4 linked regions of the Caenorhabditis elegans genome follow. The protein of the gene in region 4 interacts with the protein of the main gene of each other region in a pairwise test. Each region holds a gene or a part of one and is shown on either strand. Other genes may lie near its edges.

Region 1 (4,634 bases), on a different chromosome or scaffold from region 4:
CTGTGCGATTTCTCCGAGATTTACAGTATTATTGATCTTTTCATTCCTGAGAATCACATTAAGAATCTGACTTCTTTGCTTGGCATTTGGTACTGGAACTTGGAATCTTGCAGTCATTCTGCGTAGAATAGCAGCATCAACGTCTCGTGGACGATTTGTAGCTCCCATAACAATGATTTGATCTCCAGAACTAGAAAATCCATCCCATAATGTCATGAATTGTGCCTTCATCATTGCTGTTGATTCGTGATCATGAGATTGTCTGTCTCGGAGGAACGAATCAATTTCATCAATGAAAATAATTGTTGGTTGAAACTTTTGAGCAACAGAGAAAACAGCGGCCGCAAGTTTTTGAGACTCTCCGTACCATTTATCAGTTAGGTTTGACACTTGAAGATTGATAAATCTGAAAGGTAGCAATATTTAAAACAGGTCAATTCTGCATTTATGAATAACTAACCGGCATCCAGCTGCCCTTGCAACTGCTTTCGCTAAAAGAGTTTTTCCACATCCGGGTGGTCCATAAAGAAGAATTCCACGTGGAGGAGACAATAAATGACTTCCACTTTGCGATGCGAATCTCAAGGGTAAAATAATGCGATCCTTTAGTTCAGCAACAAGTTCTTCGCAGCCACCTGTAAAATTTTTCTTTTTTTTTGCGAAACAATTTTCTGTTCTACCGATCTCATCCCAATCTGCTCCAACGTCTTCTCCGCCAACAAACTGCGTGGCGATTCTAATTTCGTGCTCTGAGAGTTCTATTTGACGATCGATACCAAGTTCATGAAACAGCTGTGCCACCTGTATATTAAAAAAACAAAATTAGTGTTGTAAATCTACAAACCTTCTTTTTGCTTTCTTCATTCACACTATAATTTGGATCCAAGTACTTGACTAGATAGCGCACTGATAGAAATGAAACTGCAGCCGCCGCCACTACTCGAATTGCAACACCGATCAACTCATTACGATCCGTCATCTCTAACATAACAAGTATACCTTGCTGTTTTATCATCTGCTAGATATTCTTGATTAACGCGAATAATTTATCTGACATGGTTGAATACAAAATTATATCAACAATTTTATTGAAGGGTTTTGAATTAACAGGTAACAAATTAGTTGGAAGCACGGATCGACACCTGGTACACTCGGATGATGTTATCGGTGTATCCGGCGAAGAGGGTTTGTCCGTCTTGAGACCAGGCCAAAGAGATACACTGTGGGCTGGATCCTCTTGAGCTTCCAGAGCTGGCGATTTCTGGCTTGAGCTCCTCGATCTCCTTCTTGTCCTCGAGATCCCAGATCTTGATGGAAGATCCGACAGCGGCGCAGAGCCAGTATCTGTTTGGAGAGAAGGACATGGCGTTGATGACGTCGTTTCCTGGAAGGGTGTACAAGTGCTTGCCCTCGTTGAGGTCCCAAAGCATAGCTTGTCCGTCTTTGCCTCCGGAAGCACAGAGGGAACCATCTGGAGAGACGGTAACGGTGTTGACGTATCCGGTGTGACCGATGTGGTTGGTCTTCAGACGGCAGTTTCCGAGGTTCCAGACCTTGACAACCTTGTCCCATCCTGCGGAGACGATCACTGGATCGCGGTTCGATGGAGAGAAACGAACGGTGGAAACCCAATCGGTGTGGCAATCATCCTAAACAATAGTTTCGATAAATCTTCCTATAAAAGAATTTGAAAAAACGTACAGTGATGGTGTACTTGCACTGGGCAAGAGTGTTCCACAGCTTGATGGACTTGTCGCGGGATCCAGAGACGATTTGTCTGTTGTCAGCAGAGAAGGCAACAGAGAGAACATCCTTGGTGTGGGAGATGAATTGACGGGTGCTCACTCCCCTATAAAATTGTTTGCACAATGTTTTTTTATTGAATTACTTACTGGTTGAGGTCCCAGAGGCGGAGGGTCTTGTCCCAGGATCCAGAAAGAGCGAATTGTCCGTCGGAGGAGATGACAACGTCAGAGACGAAGTGGTTATGTCCAGTGAGCGAACGAACTGGGCGACCGATTGGTCCCTCATCGACTGGAGCAACGCTGTCGACATCCCAAACAAGGATAGTCTTGTCTGAAAAATGTGAGTATAAATTTGAAAACGTTATATTAATTGACTTACCGCGGGAAGATGACAGGACAGTGGTCTTGTCGTTGCGGGTGTAGGTGGCGATTTGGGTAACCCATCCGGTGTGACCCTCGAGGGTTCCGGTAAGCTTCATTTGCTCTTGGACCATTTTGCTATCTGTGTAACCCCGTTCGATCTGCTAAAAATAAAAATGTTCCATATAAAAAAATGAAAATTTTGGAGAATAGAGCGAACGAAAACCATAATTTTGTTCGAATTATGTTAAAAACATAGCCACTTTAATTATTAAATGTTGAAAATGTTGAAAAAATCATTGCTTTAACAGAAAAATACAGAAAAAAGGAAAAATCGTCCTAAAAATTCGCGTCAAACTAGCCAGCCAGCAGCAGAGGAGAAGGGGTGAGTCGCTGCGAGACCCCACAGCGAAAGTCTATGCGCCTTTAACCTGGCACTTTGCCAACTAACGAATTTACGGAACAAATTAACTTTTTCTTGTAAATTTGCATCTATGAAGCAGTTTTTGACACTTTTTTAAATTTACTTATTTATTTATTCAATTATTTATGTTTAGCTTTTATTGTGACAGTTGTTTTCGAGTTTAGCGAGCCATTTATTTGAGCCTTAAAATTAATATTTCTGAAAACTGGTTTGATTTCTTCGAAAAATTATTATTTTCTCATTTAAAAGCAAAAATACTTTAGTTTTTACATTAAAATCAATGTAATGTGGGTTTAGTTCTAATTATTCTCCATCCATTCAAATTCATCGTGTCGAGCTCGAATTTTAAAGTTTAACATTTCAGCATCCGGGGTTGCATGTGTGCAAGACATATTAAGATTACTGCATGAGATATTGCCAGAAAAATCTGACGAGACTAGTTCTTTGCGCATATCTATTGCTTTTTCGTGGAATTCCTGTCAGCTTAGTCATGCTTTTATGGGTTTCAAATTGACGAAGCGACAAAAATGTTGACTTCTTGTAGAAATTGGCCAATTGTCCGTGAAAACTTTGGTATGTGCTTGAAAATCTTCGAGTTGTTTCCTTATAATGTTTAATACCTTCTCATCTTAAATTTTACGTTGATATGCCAACATCACTATTTTAAAGTTTTTTTTTCATTCAAAAAAGTCATTTTTATTTTGAAGAATTTTTGAATACAATATATTTTCAATAATTCCCCATTTTTTAGCTGACTTTCAATACAACAACAGAACCTTGCAATAGCAATAACATCACAACAATTCCCATAATGAAAAATATTTTTTTGCTCCTAGACATTTTTTCGATATCTGTTTTTTTCCAATGGGAATGTCAACAATCAACTCTTTCCTGAGCCAATCTTCACTCGATTCTCTGTCTTCTCTGCAATCAGTGCAATCTTTAACCCAATCAACCTGCGTCTCAACTTTCCGTTCCTCTCTTATTTCTTCGCAGCACCTTCCGTTGTATTATTGATCGGTTCGCAGTGGTTTGGCGGTGCTTTTCCGCACCGTCCCTCGCCTTTTCCTCCTCCAATTTCTTGCCTCTACACAGACTGTCCGATTTATTTCTTGTCCTCTTCGCCTCTGTGTTGTTCCTAGTCACATTCCTCCAAATGCCCGTCCCTATGTGTGTGTGCGGCCGCCGCATTCACTATCCGCCCGTTTAATCGCCCCCCCCCCCCTCAGACTTTGATTCCCTTCTTCACAACTTTTGCATCCTTTTCTTTCCTGTGTCTAGTGCCCCTGATTGTTTATAATCAACCTCTGATAGTAATAGAGATTAGACGTTGTTATCGGCACACGACGACATCATTATCACTTTGTAATTCAATTGGTGGTAACTGACTGGATGGGACCCTTTTTTCAGTTGTAGATGATCAGAACAATCGAAACTTTCATAAAGACACTAATCGAGGCTAATTTTTGATTAAGAACGGGAGTGGCAGAAGTTATGCCTTCTAGCTGTACATTTTCACTACAAATGTCCTAGTTTTTCTTTTATATGTGACTCCCATTTTAACAATTAACAATTTTCAATTGGTATTGTCATGCGGTACTTCTAGATTGTTGCAAAAATTGTTAAATATCATCATTGTAAGGAGTAATCAGTTAGTTGATAGTGCCTTCGTGATTTTTTAGAAAAATTGTTGTATTCATGTACTTTTCGTCTCTTATATTCTCATATCTTCATTAATAATCTAAAAGTAATCTGCAAATCCTCTAACATCTCTTGGGGATGAATATATACATATTCTTCTACCTCTCTATTCACATAAATAAACACAAAAGAAGCATCCGAGCTCCTCCTTCTCCGCCCCATTCACCCCATTACATGCTGATTTATGAGATTATCTGAACGCTCGTCCTCTTTCGCTTACTCTCTCTTTGCCGTCTTAATCTGAATGGAAGACCACATGGCTTCTGTTCAACGAAAAAATTTACATTTTGTACTTTTTGCCTTACTATGGTTCCCGAAATTTTATTTTTTATATTTTTCCTTCGAAAAAACTAACAATCTAGATATTTTATATTTATAGGAGAATCAGATGGATCCTCGGAAAC
Region 2 (5,636 bases), on a different chromosome or scaffold from region 4:
GTGATTTTATTGATACATTCCAATTTTTTTGTATCTTGGTTTTTTTAAAACTAAAACTAGTTAAATTATTTAAAGAAAACAAAACATTACAACATGTTTTAAACATTGTAAGTTTCCCAGAGAAGAAAACAACCAAGAAACAAGATGCTAAAGTCTGACTCTTAGCATTAAAGACTGATAGGGCATTTTAAGTGCTTAAAAGGTTTCCTGTAAAATGTCTTTGAAACACACTCAACTAGAACAAACACAAAATATTTGAATGTTATCTTAAAAATTATACATGCCCCTTTACAACTATAGGAAATCAGTACCATACGGCACTTGCGCAAGAATCGACTTCTAGCAGTATATGAGCATTGTATGGTCTCAACCTATCTGTTGCTGTGATTAATTTTCGATTTATAAATTTTTGTGAATACTCTGGTTTCAGTTTTCTAGTAATACATATGAAAACATTAAAAAGCTACAAATAAAATCGTAAATAGTTAAAACTTTTATTTTAAATAAGTGGCATTGTTTAAAAAAATTAAATCTCAAAAACCACCGTCATCCTTTTTATTGTGAGTAAGTTTAACAACTGATCTTGTATTATTGGTTCTTTGTTTCTTTGATATTCATACCGACTTTACAGCTCTATAATTGATGCGGAAGAAAACGAGATAAAACATCAGACTAAGGTGCGGCATAGATCAGAATTGGGCACTAAACTTTTATGATACCTCAACTCGGCGACCAGGCAACCGGATTCCTCTCTTCACATTATCTTAATTTTATTACCACGTGGGAGATGAGACATGATTTCATCATCACACGGTCTCGATGCAGAAATGATCAAAGTTAGTCATCAGTCTATAGAATGTCGGACAAAGGTTTATTGGACAAAATGAGAAGACTGATTGTGTGAGCTACAAAGAAAGCAATGAAGAGAAGAACGTTCATAAGAGAACAATAAAATAAAAACGGGGAACGAAGTAAAAAAAAAACTAATAGCGTACTCGTTAAAAACATTAAAATCTACCAAACACTTTTAAGAAAGAAAGCAAAAAAACTGCTTTGCAATGACTAGGAATAATTGAAAATTCCAGTGACATTATTTACGTGAGAGATTGGATAGGTAAATGTTACAGTAAAATGGAAAATGAAATTGTAATTGAAAGTAACATTTTCATACCGGAGAAAATTAAATTCAAAGTAAATGTGTACTTTTTTAGATGGAAAGCTCGAATTTGACATCGACGTTGGTGGCACGAGCGAGATCAACAATGTTGGAAAGCTTGACAACCATCTTGGCGGCTTCGTCGAGGTTATCGCATGGAAGAATTCTGAGTTGGGAGGTGGCAATCAAAGCCTTGGCGTCTTCAACCTTTGTTCCTAAATAAATAAAAATTATGTTTAAAAAAATAATTTGAGCAGTTTCCACAAACCTTGCAATCTGACAACAATTGGGATCTTGAGGTCCAACTCTCTGGCAGCTTGAATAATTCCCTGAGCAATGACATCGCATCTCATGATTCCTCCAAAGATGTTCACCAAAATGGCTGAGACCTTGTCCTTGTCAGCGGTGATGATCTTGAAAGCTTCAGTGACTTGTTCAACGGTGGCACCACCTCCAACGTCGAGGAAGTTGGCTGGTTCTCCTCCGTGCAACTTGATAATGTCCATGGTGGCCATGGCGAGTCCAGCTCCGTTGACCATGCATCCGATGGTTCCATCAAGACGAATGTAGTTGAGGTTGGCAGCGGCGGCGCGGATCTAAACGATGGTTCATAAAAACTACGTTTGTACAAGTTTCAAATGTTTAACGACAAGTTTACATGTATAAAAGTTTCCAGCAATATTTGGTTACTGGCGTTAAAAAAATTAGCTTCAGATCTGCTCTTCAATATTTGAATAGCTGAATTTCACTTGCTAAGTTCAATTTGGCAATGAGTGTTTTTAATGTTATCCGAAAAGGGAAAATATGCACTATTGCTTTTATCTGCGCAATTCCTAAGGGAATTCCGTTTTCTCCGCCAGCCATTCAATTCAATTGAATACGACTCTTATTTTACCTCGAGCTCGTCCTCTTGCTTCTTATCCTTAAGATCGAAAAGCTTGGCTTGACGGAATTCTGCATTGGAGTCAAGAAGGAGCTTGCAGTCCATGCAGTAGACATCTCCGTTCACATCCTCGGCCATTGGGTTGATTTCGACAAGAGTAGCGTCGGATCCCTTGAACATCTGGTAGAGCTTCTCAATGATTTCAGAAGCTTGTTGTTCACAGTCCTTCTGAAAATTTAAAGTATTTTTGAATATAACCTGGGGCATATTTATATTTAGGTTTGCACTACGTGTTCATATAATCCAACGTTGAATAACGTACCGAGAATCCCATCTTAACGGCGATCTCGTGAGCAAGCTCTTTAGTGATTCCGACGTTGACATCAATTGGCATCTTCACGATGGCATCTGGATTGGTGGCGGCAACTTCTTCAATGTTAACTCCTCCTTGGGAAGAAGCAATAACAATTGGTCCATTGGTATTTCTGTCAAGAGTTATGGAGAAGTAGTATTCACGGCGGGTGAACAGGCGTTTGCAAACCATCACCTAAAACATTCATTTATATTTTTATCGGTTTAACTAAAAATGAATATATTAAATGTGATTTATCTTTTGTACGGCAGTGAAGTTTTTTTTTCAATTCCTATTCATCTAATTTTTAGATATGGCTCATCTGCATTTTTTAGATTTTTTGCACAGTGTGTACGAATTCATCAAAACTTGTTTGTCTCGAAAAACAGCTGAGCTACAAGAATTAACTTGTATCGAATTGTGTAGCGTCTCACGACATTATCACTCAGCTTGAATTTTTTAGCTGTACCTCTTCACACTTCTTTCCACGATGATCCGTTTGTTTGGTGATCAGGTTAGCTCCAATCATCATTCCAGCCTTTTGTTTCACCTCATCTGGGCTGAAATTAACATATTTGACAATTTAAACATTTGAATGGAATGGCTACTTACGTGAAGACAATTTGTACTCCTCCCTGAAGTCCGGACGAGAACCTTCCTTTTCCACGTCCTCCAGCAAGAACTTGAGCCTTGACGACGTAATCCTTTCCACCGATTCTTTTAGCCTCACTGAAAGCGGTTTCGGCATCCTGAGCAACTCCGAATGGTGGCACCTTGATCTCATAATTCTGCAGAATCTTCATTCCGTGATGCTCATGGAGCATAAGTGTTCTGGCGGCCGGCGCCATGAATTTCTGTGAGGTGTTGAGGAGCGGCTGACTGATTCTTCCAATCATTTTTTTTCCTGAAAAATATAATGATTTCTCTGAAACTGGCGAATAACCTAAAAGTAGAAAATTAATAGAAAAGAATGAAAACTGAATAGGGATGGAAATAGGATAAAAGTGAAGACAACAACACAAACAGTTGTGTGCACACACGGGACGCTACGACACATTGCGGACTTTGCCCTCTCCTTTGCACAAGAGGCTACGCGCATTCAATGCAAGAATGAGAGGGTGGCAATGAGGTGATACCTAGACAGAAAATATCTACTACATCTGAGAAAAGGTATATGAAATGATTTAAAACCGTCGAAAACCAAAAATTGAACAAAAAGCTTTAAAATATGTCTAGAAACGGTAGAGGCAGAAAGATGGACATACGCTGTCTCTCAAAGATCGTCGGCCAGCAACGTGGTTGTGGTTGGGCAAAAAGTGGAGAATAGATTGTTCGCAGAAAAGATAAGGTACAAAGTATCGGAGGAGGTGAAGACAGGAAAAGTGCAAACAGAAAGGGAACTGATAATAAATAAATGGCGGATTCGATCAGAGGCTACTTGTAAGGTTTTCCTAAAAAAACAAAGATAGGAATTCAAATTTCAGACTGCCGAGGGATCAGGAATATCAAAGATTTTGTTTTATATTCGTATTTTCAAATGCATGATCAGTTGGAATAAATGTTAATTTAAACAAAAAACTGGAACAGCGTACTAGCCAAAAACATTAATTTCAAATTGGGAAACCCACGAGATTTCACATAAAAAAAGGAATTCGGCCTCTTAAAATAACTACTCCCATAATCACATATAAAATAAACTAAAGTAATATTGATAACAATTGGATGCAATCAAGCTCCGTGCATCCATGTCACATCAAAACAAGAGGGGCCAACGAGAGGAAAAAAGGTTGAGTTGGATGAAATTATCAGTAGGGGTAAACGAGGAAACAAGAAGGTTTTCTCTTCTTCTCTATGTTTCCCCGGGACATAGAGACAGACAACGATGGATCAATGGAATTGTCAGAGGGAAAGACGAGAGAGAGAGGACCCATCTGCGTGTAGTGTGCAGCGTTGTTGTGTCCTTCTTGCATGCCGTTCCAACGTGAGACACACAACTCTATTTCCCTTTTTTCTTTGACTCTCTTCCCGCCAAACAGATAGGATGTTGAGTATGAAGAAGAAAATGAGCGTAGAGTTGGAAAACCAAAAGGCATTTTTTCGCTCTGGGTGAGAAAAAATGAGAGAGAATAGACAGAGTCTTGCATTGGATAAGTGGGTGGATAGAAAGACGTCATATTTCTTCGTTTGATTCAATTGGGTATTTACTGATCTTTGAAAAAGTATTACTGTCTGGCAATGTACATGTATAGATTAAAGTCTCTTAAAGTTTACATGTTTTCTTGAAATGTAATGGATCAAAAATACACCACTCTTCAATTTCAGCCAGAGCAGGCACCAAAATCATCTCTACATCTACAAAGGTGACAACGTGGAACGTAACGTGGAAACGAAAACAAAAATGAAAACGTCGAAAACATGAAAACGTATAAATGAATACAAAGTTTTATTACTGAACTCAGCAGAACAGTTTTTTATTTTTATTTTAGAACGACATTATACAACCACAGTAAAAACAGTGACTATAATAATTATTCTATAAAGAAAATTAACTTTGTTGAAAATTCTAAAATCTTATAAATACGGTTGATCAGTTACCATGTGTTTGTTACTATTTGTCAGACAGGTAAATTTTTTGAAAAACATAGCCACCAAAATAAAAACACGCAACAAAGTCTCACGTGGTCATTAAGCACCAAATTTGAAACTAGTCGCAGTAACATGGAAGGTTATCTTTCCAGTAAAACGTCATGCCACTAATGTTTGCTGCAGCTACGCAACTTGAATTCCATGTTCTTATCAGATAACACGTTGTATAGTCAAAAATCTAATGTGATGTCTGTATCATTGTGTTTGTCATGATCTTTTTGTATATTTTAAAAACCTATTTTCAACTTTTAATGTGATTTTTGTAATTCTTGAAAAAAGACGACCGTCAAGCATTATGAGGGACAAAAATTCATCTACGAAACATTTACTAAAAATTTAACGTTTAAAAAATTATTTATACTCCAAACTAGGTATTTTCCTTGTTTATCCGAGAAAAAAACTAATAAGTACGTAATCCAAATAAGCATTTGGCAAAATTGAAGATTTAATTAAACTGTCTGAAACGAGTAACTTATCGGAAACAGTCGTAAATTTCAAAAAACATTCAATTCTTTTAAACTGGGTGTCTTCATAAAGTTTGCAAAATATACGAACAACAGAGAAAATAAGGCAACAATCGGTGAATTCATAAAATAAAT
Region 3 (4,155 bases), on a different chromosome or scaffold from region 4:
AGATTCATTTTTAGATTCATATTTTTAAATACCAGGAATTTTTGGAAATTTTAATTTTTCAAAACTGTTTTAAAACTTTGCGCCCAAAACTCGAATTCTACAATATTACGCTTAGGCTTAGACATAGGCTTAGGCTTAAGCTCAGGCTTAGGCTTATGATCAGGCTGAGGCTTAGGCTCATGGTTAAGTTTAGGCCTAGGCTTAGGCTTGGCGTCAGTGGCGAGCGTTAGCTACGCTATTTAGGCTTGGTTGGGCTTAGGCTTAGTCTCAGTCTTAGGCTTAGGCTTAGGCTTAGGTTCAAGCTTAGGCTTAGGCTTAGGCTCATGGTTAAGTTTAGGCCTAGGCTTGGGCTTGTGAAAAAATTTTAGCGCAAAAATCAAATTATAATTTTTGGAAAATTTTTGTGGCGAAGATCAATTTTTGAAACAAGTTTGGCAGTAAATTCTAGTTATGATTTTTCGAAAAAAAAATGTTGGCGCGAAATTAAATTTTTAATTTTCTCAGAAAACCTGACGCAATAAAACCAATTTGAGTTTTTTTTTTTGCAAAATTCTTCCAGAAAATTGAAAAATTTTTTGGAAATTTTTGAAATATAATATTTTACCTACCTGGCAATTTGTGCAAAATTCGAGATATGGCGTTTTATGAACCACATATTTAACTTCTTCTGATTTTGGAGCACAGCTGTTCACATTGAGCATTTGGAAAAATGAAAATTTTGGAGAAGGAAATTGTGAAATTTACGAGCTCCAGAAGCTCAATTTTATGCCTTTTTTGCTGCAGAAACAATAAAAACTAAAAAAAAAACCAAATGAAATTTTCATTGAAAAATTTCAAAAAATAATTGGAGATTTGGTATTTGGATTCAACGGGATTCAATGGGGAAGACAGAATTTACAGATTTCAGAATTTTTTGGGAAAAAATTATCTTCTCTTATAAGAGAGAATAGTTCCACAATTTGGACATGAATGTCTCGAATCTTTGAATCCGTCAAGGCAGAAGCAGCACAGAAGTGGGAAGAACACGAAGAGCCCAAGGAAGAGCATTGTCCATGAGCAGAAGCCCATTGTACGCTCGACTCTGGTGCATACATTTGTCTGAAATTTTTTTGGATTGTTTTGGGGGAATTGGAGTCGAAAAAAATTTTTTTTTAGTTTTTAGGAACTCACATTACAACGAGGACAGAACTCGGTGTACGGCTCGAAGGATGGAGCCATTTTTGTGCCGACGATGATAATTTCCTGCGGTTGTTGAACCACATAGACCTGTAAAAATTCAGAATTCAAGTTTTAAACTTACCCGAATTTCATTGAAAATTTCAGAGATTTTTTTTCGGAATTTTTTTCAACTGTACATAATTATATTTATAGATTTATTTTTTTAAAAGAATTTTTGATTTTTCGGAAAATCGAGAAATCTAATAGTAAATAAAAATTTTCAGAAATAGACAAAAAAATTCAATTTTTATCGAATTTTGTTTATGTTGACACGGGATTCTGCCCTTCCTCATTGAATTTTTTGCGCTCCATTGACAAGCCGGACAACGCGTGGGAAAGTCGTGTACTTTTTTTTTCAAACCTAATTATATTTCGAAAATTGAAAATTTTTCCACCTTGTTCCAGTTTTATGTACCTAGTTAAGGCGCAATTTTTGACTCGAAATAAATTTTGGAAAAATTCCAATTAAAAAAAAATTATAATTCTGAAATTTGGCCATTTCAGCACCATATCTCAACTAACCGGTCCCTGTCCCGGTCCCTGTTGTGGCATTTGTGTTGGTGGATAAATAATTGTTGGTGGCGGCTGCTGTGCTTCAGCGTATGCTGGTGGAGCCTGTGGATATGGTGGAGCTGCGCCCTTGGAGTCCATTGTATATTTGATTGACTGAAAAATTGAAAATGCGGAAAGCTTAAAGTTCAGAGAATATAGCAAAAAAATGGCACATGGGATAAGTTGAAGGGCATGTGAACTTTTACTAGTGACAAATTTTCGATCACCATATGGCGAGTGAGTCAGTGGACAATCTCTGAGGAATTATAGCATAGGAAGAGAAATTTATATCGATAATTGTTTGAAAAAATCTCATGAGCGCAAGCCTAAGTCTAGGCCTAAGCCACAGCCTAAGCCTCAGTCTCAGACCATGCCTGAGAATGAACCTAAGCCTCAGCCTGAACATGGGCCTGATTGTGAGCTTAAGCCTAAGCCTAAGCCTAAGACTAAGCAAAAGCCTAAGCTTGGAATAAACAATTTTCTGAATTTTTTCAAAAGTTGTATTACTATAATTGGTTGATTTAGCACTATAAGAACCGAGAAAAAATTAAGCTACACTAGAAAAAAATTTAAGCTACTCTACCCAAAGCCTAAGCCTAACCCAAACCCTAATACTAAGCCTAAATCTAAGCCTAAGCCTCGGCCTCAGACTATGACTAAACCTAACCCTAGGCCTAAGCCTAAGACCAAGCCTAAGCCTAAGCCTAAAACGAAAGAAATATAAATTTTCCAAAACAAAAGTAAAAAATTAAGCTGTCAACTCCGTCACTTGCAAGCGTCAAACTCAGAAGAAACATCTGGTTAACACAAACTTTTTGATTCTAGAAAAATGTCAGGTTCCAATAATATCAAAATGACAGAGAGAAAGGCACTGACTTTGAGTTGTGAGAACTCAAGTTTTGAAAAACCTTCCGGCGCGTGTCCCCCATGGCAACCGACGTACGCCTTATAATATCTGATATCATACTGGTAACCAGCCAACTGATTAAATTATACATTTCTCTCTCACCTTTTTTTTTTGTTTTTGACAACTTGTCAAAAGCAAAAGTGAGCTTCGGGGAAAATGGGGAAATATTGAAAGGAGGCAGAGAAGCTAGAAAATGTCCTGCCTTCCTTCCTGCCTGCCTAAAAATGCCTACTATAGCTGGACAATATACACAACATTTGAATTCTAAGTTGTCAATTTCGTGCAAAGAATTGATGAAGCTGAAATGAGCGGCTCATTATTCCGGAATTTTTTTTAATTGTGTATATTTTTGAAAAAAAAATTTCCTCTGAATTTTTAGGATATTGGTAACTTCTGCAATCTTTTTAATTAATTAAAGAAATTTTTAAATTTTTTTAAAATTTTTTCAATTTAGCAAAAAATAGAATAAATAAGAAAATTATTTTTGAATTCCCGCGCAAATGAATTACCTAATATTGCAATTTTCCTAGTAAATTACCCCTGCAGTACTTCTACAGTACCCCTACAGTACTCCTACAGTACCAGTATAGACTAGAAAAATGACAAATGACAGATAAACCGTAATGACCATTTTTTTAATAATTTTTTTTGCCAATTTCGCAAAAAAATGGAATAAATGAGATAATTTTTTGAATTCCCGCGCAAATGAATTACCTAAGTTTGACATATTCCAGCTATTTTTGATTAGGATTTATCCGATTTTTCCTTCCGGAAAAAATTTGCTAAAAATCAATGGTTTCACATGAATTTATATATTTTTTTGCAGGGAAACTGCCTGAAAAATTTCAAAACTATTATAGGTAATTCATTTGCGCGGGAATTCAAAAATCAATATATATTTTTTATTTGTGCAAAATTTTTTTAACAGTTATACTCGGTAAATACAGATAGAAAATAGACCGTAATTACCGAATATAGCTGTTAAAAAATTTAAAAAATTAACATTTTTCAATTTTCTGTTAAATTCTGAATTTTAAAAACAATTATACGTTTTTTGATGTACACATAGAAAAGTTTTGTTTGGAAAAATGTTTAAAGTGATAGAAATTACTTCAATTTTCAACTAAAAAAGTTGTTTCGTACACACTCAACACGTCATATTTGTCGCCTACATTGAAGTTGCAATTGTCAAGGTCGATCAAAAAATACAAACAAAAAAGCGCGGTGAAGTTAAAGATCATAGGAAAATATATGTAAAAAAATAAAAAATGTGTTTAAAATTGTTCAAAAGTCCACTGATTTTCGATTGTTTTAGTCCGTTGCCAGGACAACACGGGGAAAGGAAGGGCTTCTCGGAAAAATGGCAAAGCATTGGAAACGTGACTGAACAAGTTTTAATCTTAAAGTCAAACTAGGTAAGTTGTGATTATAGTTGAATTTTAATCAAGTATTAAACTAAATACAAAAAATCATTTATT
Region 4 (8,819 bases):
TTCTAACCATAATTTCTAGCCATTGTAAAACCCTGTTAATTTTTAAATTTTCAACTTAGAATTTTGTCAAACACGTCTGGCTGGAAATGGTGTTTTTCTTATGCAAAATAATTCATCTTCATCTCCAAAAATTAAAATATGTGAAAAAGCGGAATTTTATTTTTCAAAACTCAAAATCGCTCAAAATTCGGAATTGTATTCAAATTACCGAAAATATGTATTTTTGTATTTAAAAAATCAACATTTCTGAAAATTCGGTTTTCTTCTATAGTTTTGGTATAGCGTGCCGATTTTAAGTTCCAGAAATTATTCGACGTCATTAATGTTTCATTTATTTTGTAGCCTCCTAAATTTCATTTAACTACTAAATTTTTCTTTGAACTCTCATTTTGTTTTAATGATCAGGAAGTAATTAGCGCGCAAAGTAAATCCATTGGAATAAATGAAGTAATACGGGAACTTCTGAACTTCTGCGAGGATAAGATTCTTGAGAAAGTACATTACGAATACTAACTCTTCATTTCGTAAACGCGAAACACAATTTTTGATCACCTATACGCGTCGAAATAAGATCTGAGGCCTCTCACACTCTAAGCTGACTCCACACACTTCCTTGAAACTGGCGTCATTTCCCGGAAAGCCGAAAAGCGGGTCGGTTCCCATCTTCATGCTCATCCCGTACTTTTGTGCCCGGTCTAAATTATTCAACCAATTAGCTCATCTAATTCGGTTTATAAGATGTAAACACAGAAAATGGGTTGCGAAATACTTTCGGTCTTCGTCGTGAAGTTCCAATTTCACATCTAATGCTTTTTGGGCGTGTTGCAGTACAAGGGAATATTCAAAAAATGAAAAGTTCACTGATACAGTACAAAAATGACAAGATGTATCAAATCTTAACACATATCGGATGGAAATCGGAAAAAAAAAACTGGCTGATTAATTGGGTAATGAACATTTTGAAGAGTTGGGAAAACACATTTTTTACAGTTAAATTTGAAAATAAAAAGAAATAATTTTTGATAAATGAGTGAATGAAGAAAGGGTTGGCACTGGAGCTCATGGGCAGGGGGAGGCTCAAGAACACACTTTAACTAGAACTGGGATGAAGAGAAACAGTTGATCACAATAAGAATGATACATGATAATGACAAAAAAGGTCAAGACGAGATCAGAGGAAAAAGGGAAAGAAATAATGGAAAGAATGACAGAATTTATATTAGAAAAATGAACTAGCTCACAACCAACTATCACAAAAAAGGTTAGAAATTAAATTGAAATTACTTTTTCTCGTACATCTTTTTCAGGCGTTCCATTTCTCGTTTTGTGTTGTCATGCGACTGGCGCTCCTGGAATTAAAACCGATTTCTACCAGAAATTCTTAAATTATTGGAGAAGTCTATAGAAAAATGAAAATCGCATGAAAATCGGTTCAGATGTTGTCTTGTAGGCATTCAAATATTTCCTATACTCCCAAATTGGATGAAATTCAGATATAGCCAGATGATATAATAATAAACGGTATAGCAAAATCGCAAACCTGAATAAGTTGCTTTTTAAGTTGTTGTGCGAGCATTTCAAGTGCCCGCTTTTCCTGAACAGTACGTTCCAAATGAGTTTGAATTCTAACAAGTTCACTCGATTCTCTCTCATTTGTAGATTCGCGTGCGGAGAGTGGTGCCTAAAAGTCAACTGTTTCCTCCAAATTCCTAAAGTTCTGAAACTAACTTTTCGATTAAGCTCGTCCATAAGCGGAGATCGAAGTTGTTCATCAGACTGAGCTCTGTTGAGATATTTTGGAGGATTCAGTAACGTGCACATGTTGTCATGGACGCTAGCACTCGACAACGTGTTCGGACGATTGTTTGATCTGAATCTATTTCATTGTTTAGTAATAGGTTCTTACATTAAAGTGGATAGTAGATCAAGGCTCACATATTGTTGGCTCGCTGTTCAATGGTCTTTTTGGTGGCTGTGAAACTGAAAGTGCGTTCGTCGAAAGATGATGCCGGACTGCTGCTCGCGCTATTCGTCGGGTACTCGAGCTTCTTCTGACGGAACATCTCGTGGTACCTGCTGCCACACGCGATGAAAACCTTGTAACGCGCCTAAAAACTCACGTAATTGGCTGCTTGGCGAATGCATCTGGAGTCAGCATCTGTTCGATTCCCTTTACAGCTGGACAATTTGGATCTTCACATCCACGACGGGGGCTTCCATCCGATGATGGAGAAATCATAAGCAAACGAACACATTCAGAAACAGCCAACTGATCGCAAATCTTATCAAATGATAAAGTACTGATTGGCATTGAATCCATTTCAACAATACGACTTCCTTGGCGAATTCCTGCTTTCCAAGCCAATTGATACATTTCAACATCAGTAACAACTCCTTCATCTTGAACATGGAATCCCCAATTATCTGTTGTCTTTAACCTTCGAAGCACAACTTCCTTTGCTTCATCGCCTTTTGTGACATTTTCAAGACGACGGATCAACTCGTTGAGCTCTGAGTCGGTACAAGTTTCAGAGTAGCAACGAAGAAGCAGTTGGTCTCCATGATCATAATAGAGTTTCAGTCTGAAAAATGTTCAATAAATAAACAATGATTTTATTTTTAACTGAATTTGCGAAAAAATATTAAAGAAGTCTTCTTACCCAGTGTCACTGGTTGCCCATCCTATAATTGAATGAGTTGGAGTCGAAAACAATACAGTGCCAGATGGCCTTTCGAGAAGTACAATCCAATCTTGAGCAACCCCAAGTACACAGCTAATTCTCTGATTAGTTGAGTAATCATGTACATCAACAAGCCACGAGAGTGCTCCTCGCATCACGTGATTTGTTGGCTTTGGATTGTGACGTTCTTTTCGTTTCACACTTCCTCCTAGGAATCGACCTGAAAATCGGGTTTGTCCAATTTTAAATCCTCTGTGTAAGTAACCTACTGGCTATTTTGCTGGCGCCTTCATTTTGATGAGGTCCAACATAGTTTTCGACTAGGTCGCGTAGAGCTTCACGTCTAGTTCTTGCAGCCATTGTAGCAAACTTTTTTGACCGATGCACAGCATTCTCCGCGTTGATAACTAAAATCAATTAAATTTAAATTAAACAACTAGAAGTTAAACAATTCTTCAAACATACTTTTTGTTAATAACCAATCATGAAACTCCGCGCACTTGCTGAAGCATGCTCCTTTTGGAACGGGCGGTCCAAATGCTGGAACATCTTTTGATCTGCTGACTGCCACGCTGTATGTCACATTTTCAGAGCACTCGTTGTGAACCCGAACAATAATGAACACATGTTGGAAATGACTACGCACAGTTATTGGTGAGAATGGCAACGCTCCAGGTTCTTGGAATACGATTGTGACCATATCATTTCCAATGTGCCTTTTTCGGGAGAGTTGTTGCCTGTTACTCGGAGTGAACGGAAGTAGTGTTGAAACGTGGAACATGATCTCATGAGCTTGATACTCGGAGTAGATTGAATGAGTTCCAGTAGTGTCGCCACGTGTATCTAGGCCTCCTTTGTAAGCTTCAAATCCTTTAAGTGTAACCCGTTGACCAAGGAAATCAAGGAACTCGTCGAATGATGGTGTAGAAAACTCTGAATATTTCAAGATTCGATATTATTCAAAAAATAATTTTCCTTACCATTATTATACATTTGTTCTTCGGTACTCTGTTCGTTTTTACACAACATTATTCCAACTTTATATCGAGTATAAATTGGTTGCTCATCAATCTTCATAATGAGCTCTTCAACTCTCGGTGACTGAATTGATGGTCTCAAAATTCCAAAGCTTATTTTCGGGCACACAATTTCAAGAAGTTCTCGCATTAGAGGACGAGTTGCTCGATCTGATCCTTCTGGAGTTGAGAGTGCTTCCTCTGGAACAGCTACACGAATTGTTTTTTGCTGTAATGTAAACATTGTTGAGCTAGAAATTGCAAAAATTTAATTACATCTGAAATTCGAACAATCATTCTGTAAATCGAGTACGATTCCTTCCGATCAACAATTTCTCGTACCATTGAGATACTGATGGGGCCAAGGATGTCATCCATTCCAAGATATTCGATGTGATCTGAAATACATTTTAAATATGAATCAACTATCAAATCAATTATGTCTTTCTAGTTTAAAAGTTTATAACATCTCAAATGTTCAAAAAAATCCTCGTGGTATACAACTAACTTTTTGAGATAAAACAGTGCCGATAGTAATACGACCCGATGTCTTGTGGTTCAATAACTGTCTTCGGCTGCCTAGCAGCACACAATCTTCCTCCGAGATATACATTGGAGACGTCTTCCAAAATGCCAGCTTCCGATGCTGAATGTTCTCGCATCCACGTCTCACATTCGTGCGCATCCGTGTGAGCCATATCGAATGTGTGTCGTGAGAGCGCAAAACGCCGCGTTGGTTCCCAGCCCAATTCATTCCTAAATGCTGGACAACTGGCAAGCAATTCATTAAATTTCCCATCACCCGAATCATCTTCACTTGGTGATTGTGCTTGTGATGCTCCAGTTGGTTTGTCATCAAGACCATTTGGATGCATACCAAGTCCCCATGCAGCGGCAAGAGATAGACAATCTTGATATGCTGATAGTCGGGGAAACGGTGGTCGCCATTCATTAAATGTTTCTGTATCATTGTCTGAATTCGTGGATGATGGTTGATCCGCACTGATAACTCCACTGGAAGAGGAAACTGCTGAAGTATTTGGGACTCCTGCGCTTGGTGGAAGAACATCGGCGGCCGTATTTCCTATAAACATTTTTGGGTTTTTCTTGCAAAGAAGCGATCAATGATTATAGGATAACAGTCGATGATTTCGTGTTGGATAAGAACAAAAACTTGAACTAGTCAAATCTCAAATGAGAATTCGATAATTTGACCGATCGTCTTGTTTTTCTTCAAAAAACAAGCTATTGAACATTGAGCTTTGATCAACTTTTATACTAAAAATTATATTTTTAATTAGTGATAACAGTAAATGTGAAAGATCAATTCTACATGTTTACCTTCTACAACTATAGACTATTTCAAAATACATACATAATTACGTTGGGTTTGACAACGCAGACTTTCTAGTTTGAACCGATGTGAAAATATGAGAAATTTGAATTGTCCGCAAAGTCAAAGACATTTACCGAAAAATTTCAAAGTGAATTTTTTGTATCTTAAGGCATCATAAAAGCTTGTGTAGAGTGTCACTAAACATTCTGTATTATAACTTGTTTCCAAATTATTTTTGAAAAAAGTTTATGATTCAATTTTGTTTTCATTTTGGAAAAGTCGAAAAACGATTTTTTTTTGGGATATTGCACAATCTTAGAATGGAATTTTCTAAAAAAAAAATTCTGGATTTACTTTTAAGCTAAATATGTTTCAGGACAGTACGACCGACCAGTTATATATATATATATTTTTTTTCAGGTAAGGAGCCTTTTTAGAATTTCGATTCTTATCAAACACTACGTCACCTTCTATCTCTTGTATTTTTATCAGAATCACTCAAAATCACAGCACACCAACGGCAAATAGTTATTTACTTAATCGCTAGGTAGAGCTTCTGATTTTCAGAGTAATCTCTAAGTAAATAAGCATTTACCAACACACTTTCCGACTACTATCAAATCAAATCATCACCTCGTGGAGACTTGCTCACTCGTTTTAAATAATTACAGATCTTGGAGACGGAACTACCGTCTCCCATTATGCAGAATCGAGTGCAAAAAAAGTTAGTAAAGTGATTTGCAAGAAAATGTGCATAGGACAAAATAAAACTGTTAGAATAATAAATGGGGAATATTCTTGCAGGAGTGTTCAGTCGCCGCGAAATCTCCGTTCTCTTTCACGTAAATCACCTAATTTATCTTCGAAAAAAGAAGTTTTAGGAGCGAAAAATGGGATTGAATAATAATAATGATGCGATAGTTTTCGACATGTATACAACGCCTACACGTTACCTACGGTTACCGACTGCTAATTGGGAATGAGTCGGAATTAAGCACGAGTACTTTTCCATTGGGAATGGGCCGGATGTGATGTGAAATGGAGAGAAAGAGGAGAGAGAGGGTTAGCTGATGATTCAAATAAGATATAAATAATTTGGAAAGTGACTGATAACAGACAGTGATTATTCAAGATCTCTGGTGATTCATTAGGACAAACGAAAGAGCTTCCTCGCCTTATTTACTTATTATGGATTTGTTATGACACTCTGGCGAGTAGGTAAGAAAACCCAAACTTTATTTTCTTTTTTGAATTTTAAAGTTGGGGTACACCATCAGGTAAAAATCACTTTCCAATTAATTATATCAAATTTGGAAGCAGGGGATAACAAGAGGTGAGCAAAGAAGAGCACAACAAAACCTGCAATGACGACAGCAAGCACTGAACCTCGCCGATTGAACATGTCGAGCGCTCGAGCAGTCGCCGACGAAGAAGTCGACGCAGAAGATCCTTCATCCATCGAACCGCCGATCGGTGGTGAGCCAGTGGACGAACCAGAGACGAGCAGCGGTTGATGATGTAGATGGTGGCACAGCGAACGTGTCCGATTAGCTGATCTCACCGACGATGTCGTCGACGACATCGGACATTCGCATTTTATGATTTAACGATGGAGTTGTGGGGGAGACGAACGCTCAAGGGGCCAAGAGTGAGGGAGCGAAGACTCTGGAAAAAAAAAGAAAAATTTCGATTAAAAAGTCAAATGAAAATATTCATAAGTTATAAAAATCATCAACATATGGCAAGAGAGAAAATTTTTAAATGTTTCTATACAGCATGCTGAGAATTGCAAGACACTGGCAAAAGACAAGAAAAATGAGTCAATCAAGAATTTTTCCGATAATAATAATAATAATGATAGACGGAAAATATTTTGATAAAATCATTGTTTTCCGACGCCCGTGAATTTTTTCCTTCAGACAATATAATAAGTAGTTAAGAAAAACAACTTCAAGATATCTAATGGGAATTAAGGAAGTTGTTTTAAGTATCACTATACGAAATTCAGCACTGTTTTATTTGGCAAGAGAAGTTTCAGAAATACCTATGGGAAAATTTATGTCTAATGAAAAACAATACTAATTGTAATGCACGGGGTATGTTATTGTAAGAAAACTTTTTAATAGGAGGACAACTTCCAGATACAAAAATCTATGTATGTAGTTCACAATTTTGGAATGAATTGAAGATAAATTGTCAAAAAGATTGTCAGAAAAATAATCTGTTGGAAATCCCATTCATCAGAATTTAAAATAAATTTAAATAGTACGTTTACTGGGTTCACTGTACAAATAAATTTTACTTTATTCGATAAACATTTTTAAAGACCTCCCGAAAAAATTTTCCGACATCTAATATGAGATTTTCACTATTTTTTGGGATTTTCGGGATTTTGTGAAATTTCGGAAAACTGTATTTCTCAAGTTATATCATTTAAGAAGAAAAATCAACTAACACATTTTCTAATATTTGGTAATTGAAATGTACAAGTGAAATCTATGCAAATATTTGAATGTTCAGTCTGAAAGTGCATTGCTTCAAAAACATGCAAATTTGTTTTTAATTTGCAATTTTTCGGAATTTTTAGGCTTTTTTAATTGCGAACAACTTTGTTGGGAAATCAGAAAAAAATGATTCAGTAAGTTGAAATTTTATTGTAAATTTCAACAGGCCAATATATGGGCGGAGCCTAGGACTCAAGCAATAGAGTACAGTGCCTTCCACGACCACTTTACCAAATAATGTAGGTGTCTAAAATAAATCAAATTACCAAACTTTGTGAAGGGAAATTCAAGAACACAGTATCGAAAGATCGTATCAAAAATGAAAATGAATGTTTGATTTTTTAATGAATGTGAACTTTGTTTGAAATCATCATGTTCCTCCTCCTTCTCTTCTTTTTCTTTCTTTCCCTCACACCTATTTGTTAATAAACAGTGTAGAGAGATGTGATAGAAGGAACATAAAGAGGAAAGGATATTGGGGTGCCCCCGGAAAAAGAGAGTAGGAAACTGGAAAAAAGACATTGAAACTGAACTTTTTATGCGTGTGAGAGGTGCAAAATAGTGGATAAAAGTGGCTGGACGCAGACAAGTAAACTGGGAGAAAAGGAGTGGAAAGTGAAAGTGAGATGAGGGAAAAAAGAGAGGGCTCTTCAAAATGTGTATGTGTGTGTGTGTGTGTGTGTGTGTGTGTGTGTGTGTGTGTGTGTGTGTGTGTGTGTGTGTGTGTGTGTGTCATTTACTTTGTAAACATCGATACCCTGTGGCACAGCAGAAATACTAGAAGAAGAAGAGAGAAAGAAGACTCGACCCTTCTTCTTTTTTTGGCACACACACACAATTTTCCAGAAAAGAATAGAATAAGACGTCTGAAAGCTCTATATAATGATACGAATAATAATAGGAAGCAACACAAAAAAAGAGGATGTGTAGAATGTGTAGATGTATACGAGAGTCGAAAAGAAAAGGAATAAAGAAAATAAAATTGGATTAGAATAGGCAAGATTGATAAGCGGGGAGCCATGTGCTCTTCTTCGCACACTCAATCCAGAGGCGGCTCGGCTTAATTGAAATGAGCAACAGAAAAGACAGAAAGCAGTAGAAGAACATAAATGAGCGGGGAAAAAAAAAAGAAAGCATTTTCGTTCTGCACCGGAAAGATACAACACCTGCCACCTTTCTTTCTTTTTTTTTTTGAAAATCTTTTTTTTTTTGAAATTTGGCTATTTTGAGCACCTGCTATTTTGAGCATTGTATTAAAATAAATATATACTAATTGTTTGAA

The links.
Region 1: the proteins of sipa-1 (region 4) and rack-1 interact in a two-hybrid assay, tested with the Caenorhabditis elegans proteins (one large-scale study listed by BioGRID).
Region 2: the proteins of sipa-1 (region 4) and suca-1 interact in a two-hybrid assay, tested with the Caenorhabditis elegans proteins (one large-scale study listed by BioGRID).
Region 3: the proteins of sipa-1 (region 4) and Y37D8A.6 interact in a two-hybrid assay, tested with the Caenorhabditis elegans proteins (one large-scale study listed by BioGRID).

Annotation. Positions count from the first base shown.
Region 1 is NC_003282.8:10,174,315-10,178,948, reverse strand, and holds rack-1 (Small ribosomal subunit protein RACK1), read right to left. Parts: upstream 2,270-4,634; 5' UTR 2,240-2,269; coding exon 2,125-2,239; intron 2,077-2,124; coding exon 1,893-2,076; intron 1,850-1,892; coding exon 1,702-1,849; intron 1,650-1,701; coding exon 1,119-1,649; 3' UTR 1,074-1,118; downstream 1-1,073. Other genes in the region: mspn-1 (Mitochondrial sorting homolog), read right to left, coding at 1-406, 461-635, 681-801, 845-979; pxf-1 (Rap guanine nucleotide exchange factor), read left to right, coding at 4,619-4,634.
Region 2 is NC_003284.9:10,896,820-10,902,455, forward strand, and holds suca-1 (Succinate--CoA ligase [ADP-forming] subunit beta, mitochondrial), read right to left. Parts: upstream 3,296-5,636; 5' UTR 3,288-3,295; coding exon 3,004-3,287; intron 2,952-3,003; coding exon 2,861-2,951; intron 2,587-2,860; coding exon 2,362-2,586; intron 2,268-2,361; coding exon 2,052-2,267; intron 1,753-2,051; coding exon 1,425-1,752; intron 1,372-1,424; coding exon 1,208-1,371; 3' UTR 859-1,207; downstream 1-858. UniProt on the Caenorhabditis elegans protein: ATP-specific succinyl-CoA synthetase functions in the citric acid cycle (TCA), coupling the hydrolysis of succinyl-CoA to the synthesis of ATP and thus represents the only step of substrate-level phosphorylation in the TCA.
Region 3 is NC_003281.10:12,856,028-12,860,182, forward strand, and holds Y37D8A.6 (LITAF domain-containing protein), read right to left. Parts: upstream 1,885-4,155; 5' UTR 1,870-1,884; coding exon 1,741-1,869; intron 1,267-1,740; coding exon 1,171-1,266; intron 1,099-1,170; coding exon 925-1,098; 3' UTR 806-924; downstream 1-805. Other genes in the region: Y37D8A.26 (LITAF domain-containing protein), read right to left, coding at 609-701.
Region 4 is NC_003283.11:11,630,592-11,639,410, forward strand, and holds sipa-1 (Rap-GAP domain-containing protein), read right to left. Parts: upstream 6,701-8,819; 5' UTR 6,616-6,700; coding exon 6,393-6,615; intron 4,782-6,392; coding exon 4,206-4,781; intron 4,096-4,205; coding exon 3,974-4,095; intron 3,927-3,973; coding exon 3,662-3,926; intron 3,615-3,661; coding exon 3,147-3,614; intron 3,089-3,146; coding exon 2,951-3,088; intron 2,902-2,950; coding exon 2,661-2,901; intron 2,583-2,660; coding exon 2,121-2,582; intron 2,077-2,120; coding exon 1,936-2,076; intron 1,877-1,935; coding exon 1,729-1,876; intron 1,682-1,728; coding exon 1,541-1,681; intron 1,350-1,540; coding exon 1,281-1,349; 3' UTR 842-1,280; downstream 1-841.